Linked DNA regions of Oryctolagus cuniculus. The protein of the gene in region 1 purifies or fractionates together with the protein of each later gene. This does not show direct contact. Links are inferred from orthologs where the notes say so. Each region holds a gene or a part of one and is shown in the gene's direction. Other genes may lie near its edges.

Region 1 (3,679 bases):
GTGGGGAGGCTCAGGGGTGGCCCTGCTGCTCCCCCCGGCGTCCGTGTCCCGTGACTCTCCGTGGGGAGGCTCAGGGGTGGCCCTGCTGCTCCCCCCGGCGTCCGTGTCCCGTGACTCTCCGTGGGGAGGCTCAGGGGTGGCCCTGCTGCTCCCCCCGGCGTCCGTGTCCCGTGACTCTCCGTGGGAGGCCCGGGGTTGGCACTCCTTCCCCCAGCGTGTATCCTGCTCCACTTTCCCACGCGCACTCCGGCGGCTCTGGCCCGCGAGCTGGGGCTCTCCTGGGCAGGCGTGCGCCCCCCGTCGTCCCGCTCGCTTCCCGCACCCCTAGGCGGTGGCCCGGCGCACTATGCCCGGGAGTTCTGGCGGCTTCCTGCTGGGCCTCGTGCCCAGGGCCTGCCGAGTCCGGAAGGAGACGTCCCGTCCGGCCTGGGTCCGGCCTGGGCCTCTGGGTTCCGAGCCGCCCGCCCCGCGGCCCCTTCCTCCCAGGCTCCCGCGCTGCACCCCGCAGCGGCGCCGGGCCGGCGACCGCCCTCTCCTCAGGCCGCTTCCCCGCTCCTGGGGACGCGGCCCCTCATCCGCTCCCCGCATCCCCGGACGCGGGCTCTGAGCGCCGCGGCGGCCGCCTCACGCGGGACTCGGCCCGGCTCTGAGGAAACGCGGCGACGCCGGGAGGCGTCTGCGACTTCCGGTCCGGGCGGGCTGCGGGGGCAGCGGAACCCAGGCGCGAGGCCCGTGCTCCCGGCCGGACGCCGATCCGCGTGCACTGGAGGCGGAGCCCGGCGCGCGGCCCCAGCCGCGGGCCGCACGTGCGCAGCCGGGAGGCGGAGCCAGGCGCGCGGGTCGGTGCAGCGCGGCGCGCCATGGCGGAGCGCGGCGGCGACGGCGGCGCTCGCCCGTGGGCCCCCGAGGACGCCTGGATCGGCAGCCACCCCAAGGTGAGGGGCCGGGCGCGGGCTCCTCTCACGCGTGGGCGGAGACGCGGCCGGGAGCCGTGCGGGGTGGCGCGTGGGCGGGGACGCGGCCGGTGAGCCGTGCGGGGTGTCGCGTGGGCGGGGACGCGGCCGGGAGCCATGCGGGGTGTCGCGTGGGCGGGGACGCGGCCGGTGAGCCGTGCGGGGTGTCGCGTGGGCGGGGACGCGGCCGGGAGCCATGCGGGGTGTCGCGTGGGCGGGGACGCGGCCGGGGAGCCGTGCGGGGTGTCGCGTGGGCGGGGACGCGGCCGGGGAGCCGTGCGGGGTGTCGCGTGGGCGGGGACGCGGCCGGGGAGCCGTGCGGGTGGCGATGGGCCCGCGAGGTCGGGAGGGCCGGTTGCCCCGTGTGCCGAGTCCCGCCCCCGCCCCCCGCCCTCGCCCTCGCCCCCTCCCCCGCCCTCGCCCCCTCCCCCTCTCCCCCGCACCCAGGGCGGCGCGGTGTTGGGGGTCTCCCCCTGAGAAACGGGGTGACCACGGCGCGCACCGCGTGGGGCTCCTCCGGCTTAGGTCGGTGGCTGTTGGTCAGGCGTCTGCCGCGGGGAGTGGCCGTGCTGGTCACTCAGCTCGCTCTTTTACGTTTCTTAAGACTGGGGCCGGCGCTGTGGCGCAGCCGGTTAAAGCCCTGGCCTCCCATATGGGCGCCGGTTCGAGTCCCGGCTGCTCTCTGCTGTGGCCTGGGAAAGCAGTGGAGGATGGCCCAGGGGCTTGGGCCCTGCACCCGCGTGGGAGACCGGGAAGAAGCTCCTGGCTTCAGATGGGCACAGCTCTGGCTGTTGCAGCCATTGGAGGAGTGAACCAGCGGATGGAAGACCCCTCTCTCTGTAACTCTGTCTTTAGAGACTTTACCGTTTATTTGGAAGAGTTAGAGAGAGGGAGAGGGAGACCCGACCCTCCACCGTTCACTCCCCGGATGAGTGCAGTGGCTGGGGCTGCAGGATGCCGGCCACTTGGCCGGTGGTCAGTGGCCTGGTGGCCCGTGGTCGTGGCTTCCTGCGGTGTGCACAGAGCCAGCCCCAGGCTCAGCCTCCAGTGCAGGCCGTGATAGACTGAGCGTGGAGGCCGAGTTCCGCAGAGAACTGAGGGACTTAGCGTTTCCTGCCCAGCACTTTTCTCACTGAGTCCGCTCAGTCGGTTGTGAAGAGGCCCGGCCGGGTGCAGTGCGGGTCCGTGTGCAGACCTGCGCTCTGTAGACCTGGACAGCAAGCTTCGGAGCGGACGCACTCTGCAGTCGGGGAGAAATAAACACCAGTGGGTATCTGATTTCCGGCTCTGCCTTTGTGTGGCTCGGTTTGCCAGTGACTTAGGTCCGTCCGTGGAGCGTGGTGGCAGGGCGGCCCCCGCAGGCACCACTCCCCTGCCGTCCGGCTCACAGCCCCTCGGCGCCCCGTCGCGCGGAGGATCCGGACCTCTGGCGTGGCCCCGCCTGCGGTTGCATGGCAGCCCTGATCTGCACCTGTGCGCTGACACCCGTCTTCCCAGCCGCCCTCGCGGAGCTCGCCCTGCGCGAGCCCTGCTCGCCCGGGGACGCGCGGCCTCGGCGTCCCCTCGGAGACGCGTTCCCCCTGCAGCTGGTTTGTCCGCTTCGGTGACACCTCCCGGGCGTGGGGAGGAGGGGGCGTGGCGTTCCGGCAGTGTCTCCCCATGCAGGTGACAGGCCCCCACGAGACCCCGGGACAGCCCACGGCTGCTGCTGCGGGTCTCGGACGCGTGTGGCTCACCCTCACCTTGTCGACTGCTCGCTGTGGCTCTGCGTTGCTTGTTCTAAGGGCAGGGCCTTGGGCCCGTTCTGTCACTCACCGGCCACACCCCGAGGGGAGCTCCGTGTGTGGTCTCATCCCATCGCGGTCACAGGTCGTTTTTGCCCAGTTTGTGTGTTCTGACAGCTGCAGACCCTCCGGAGGCAGATGCCATCCTGCGTCGCCCTCTACCTTCTGTGCAGATAGCACACGTGCAGTGACACGCGCCCACTGGAGGGGCACCCGAGCCTCCCTTCCGCGTCTGACGCCCCCATTTTGATTTCCAGTATTTGGAGATGATGGAGTTGGATGCGGGAGATGCCACGCAAGTGTACGCAGCGTTCTTGGTTTTCCTGGACCTCATGGAGAGTAAGCCGCCCACCTCTGTGTGGACTGGGGCCGTGCTGGGGTCGGGCGCTGGGTTGGGATCTCCGCGCTGACGTTACGGTGAGCAGTCGCTCATGCATTTGCTGCTAGTTTTGTCAAGCAGTTTTGCAGCTTCCTTATCTTTTTACGTTGGGAATTATTGAGTAACAGAAACGCTAGACGAGTAGAGAAGAGGCCGGGGTAAGGGTGACATTGCCACATAGAAGTTCGGAGCCTTTACTTTGGCTTTTGATAAGCGGTCTTGCCCGTTCGACGCGGCTCTTCCAGGTAAAAGTTGGCATGAAGTGAACTGCGTGGGACTGCCAGAGCTGCAGCTCATCTGCCTGGTCGGCACGGAGATAGAAGGGGAGGGCTTGCAGACCATTGTGCCCACGCCCGTCACAGCCTCCCTCAGCCACAACAGGTGAGCGCGGGTTTTGGTCTTGGCTAACCGACAGTTCAGAAGCGAAGCAGCCGGGATTCAAACCCGTGGACAAGAGATGCTGGTGTTGTAGGCTTCGACTTAACCTGCCACACTCTAACATAGATCCCACATTCTTTTTTTATATTATTAACAGTAAATGTTTGTTGGTTGTGTTTTGAGTT
Region 2 (2,365 bases), on another chromosome or scaffold:
AGCCAGAGCCGGCCGCCGCACCTGTGGGGCCAGCCCGTCACCCCGCTGCTGAGCCCTGGCCAGGCGGACTCTCCAGGTACCCTCTCCCCCGGCTACAGCCCGGCAGGCTTCTGACGGCTGAGGAGTCAGGATTCCGAAGGGGTGTGGAGTGGCCAGGTCTGGTTGAGGCACAAGATAGAGGAGCCCACAGGGACAGCCAGATCCTCGGGTGGCAGCAGAGGGCCCGCACGGCAAGGGGGAGAGGCGGTGTGTCAGGCCAAGCGGTCCTTGAAACCACAAACGGTGACGTGGGCGCCTCTGCCCCCGGTGAGCTGTGGTCCTCTCTCCTCCCGCCTCTTGGCAGAACAAGGAGGTAGAGGAAGGCTTGCTCTGTGCTCTTAATTTTGAGCACGGGGCCCTAATGGGGCCAGAATGGTCTGAGCTAAACACATGAACAGGTTCGGAGGTACTGAAAATCTAACCGGGAAAAGGGGGTGGCAGACGCAGAAATGGCGGGAGCGCGGGTGACTGGCCGCCTGCCCACCCCTGGCTCTTGCTCTCCGCAGCCGCCGTGCTTCACCACATCTCTGTGCTGCAGACAGCGCACCTGGCTGACGGAGGCGCTCGGTGAGTGTCCGAGCTGTGCTCGCGGTACCCTGCTTGCCCTGGGGGGTAGGCGGCCGGGATGTAGCTCCTGCGGTTGGTTGTGAGCTGGAGGAGCCTGCCAGGGACCCCTGCCCACGTGCCACAGCTGGTACCCATTCACGGCCAGGGCACGGGGAGCAACGCCAGGTGGGTTTAACCTGGGAGTCGGGAGCCCCTCCCCTTAGAGGACACGGCTTCCTGGAACTGGTGGTGGGCAGGAAGGGTGACGGGGACAGTCTGTGTCCTGAGGTTTCCCATCTCCGCAGGCTGCAGGGCAAGGCCGGGGACCTGGAGATCAGCTTTGATGTTTACCAGGCTGACGCCGTGGCCACGTTCCGGAAGAACAACCCTGGCAAACCCTATGCCCGGATGTGCATTAGCGGGTACGAGCCGGGCGAGCACCGCCCCAGGCTGCTGCCAGCTCTCTGGCCAGGGTGCCGATGGCCTGAGAGGAAGCTGAAGTCCGGAGAGGTTTAGTGGCCCACACAAGGTCTTTCTCCCCTGCGTTGGTCCCTGTGCAGCAGAAGGGATGTAGGTCGGTGGGGTTCGTGGGCACAGGGCTCAGAATTCTCTTCCGGCCCCCTGCAGACCCAGGGCTGGGGGCTCCCCGGTGTCCAGTTTGCAGGCAGAAGAGCCCAGATGCTAGAATTCTTGCTCCCCCACCCCTGGCCCCCATCTTCCTTGCCTGGGAGCCTGGGAGGGGCTCAGAGCCCAGGATGGTCAGGTCTGAGAGCAGCCCTTGTCCGTGCAGGTTCGATGAGCCGGTCCCCGACCTCTGCAGCCTCAAGCGCTTGTCCTACCAGAGCGGGGACGTCCCCCTGCTCTTCGCGCTGGTGGACCATGGCGACATCTCCTTCTACAGCTTCAGGGACTTCACGCTGCCCAGGGACCTGGAGCACTGACCACGCGGCTGGGGGCGGAGGGGCTGCAGCCTGCCCTGGGGAGACCTGGACTGTCTGTTCTCAGGGACCATCCAGCGGCCTCCCGGGCCTGGACTCTGACCTGTGGTCTGGACCTTGGCCCTGGTGCCTGACACCACTCCCCTCCTCCCTGCCTGGCCGCTGCACGCTGCCAACGCCCGCACCCGGGATCGCCGCCTTGCAGGGACCCCTTCGGAACTCAGACCCGGGCAGAGGAGGGGGCCCAGAAGAGAGGACTCTGTGCCTTTAACGAGAGGGTGCCTGCTTCTTGCCATAAAGCCAAAGCCATTAAAAACGGATCTCTTTATTTTTGTGCGTGGTTGGATATGCCGGACAGACCCCCAGCCTCTCCTGTTTGGCCACTCACTGGGAGGCGCGCGCTTTGGGGCGGCGGAGGGAGGGAGGGCCTCTCTTCACCAGAGCGGGGCGGCTCAGGACACAAGGGTGGCCGGGAGGCGCCGGGTCGGTTTAGTTTGACGCTGCGCCCCGGGGGTCTGCCAGCTGCTGCGGGGGGCGCAGTTCTAGCCCTTCGGCTCCCGCCTCTCCAATCCTCTCCCTGGCTTGAGCTAGAAACTCCCGCCGCTGCTGGCCTCCGCAGTGGACACGGAGGAGGGTCCTGGTTTGGGGCCCACCCCAGGGAAGGCCTCGCCCCCAGCACCACTCCTCTGCGCGGTGCGGGAGGGCGAGGCCCGGCCCAGCGTCCACCGCGGTCTCCAGGGCTCGCACCCTCGGGAGGAGCCGCCCGCGGGGCCCCTCCGGTCTGGCTGGCAGGCGTTCCGGGAACTATTTCCTCTTCCAGGAGGCGGCGGGGCACTGGGCGC

Evidence for each region. The genes of interacting proteins can lie anywhere in the genome.
Region 2: the proteins of TSEN15 (region 1) and TSEN54 purify together in Homo sapiens (affinity purification with mass spectrometry; 4 studies listed by BioGRID and IntAct, counting the BioPlex papers as one, with this or other methods). This does not show direct contact. The link is inferred for Oryctolagus cuniculus from reciprocal best matches to the Homo sapiens genes TSEN15 and TSEN54.

What each region holds. Positions count from the first base shown.
Region 1 is NC_091444.1:1,817,042-1,820,720, forward strand, and holds the start of TSEN15 (tRNA-splicing endonuclease subunit Sen15), read left to right. Parts: upstream 1-780; 5' UTR 781-860; coding exon 861-935; intron 936-1,405; exon of another isoform or gene 1,406-2,219; intron 2,220-2,994; coding exon 2,995-3,076; intron 3,077-3,361; coding exon 3,362-3,497; intron 3,498-3,679. UniProt on the Homo sapiens protein: Non-catalytic subunit of the tRNA-splicing endonuclease complex, a complex responsible for identification and cleavage of the splice sites in pre-tRNA. It cleaves pre-tRNA at the 5' and 3' splice sites to release the intron.
Region 2 is NC_091448.1:5,052,240-5,054,604, reverse strand, and holds the end of TSEN54 (tRNA-splicing endonuclease subunit Sen54), read left to right. Parts: coding exon 1-76; intron 77-545; coding exon 546-606; intron 607-890; coding exon 891-1,007; intron 1,008-1,375; coding exon 1,376-1,526; 3' UTR 1,527-1,851; downstream 1,852-2,365.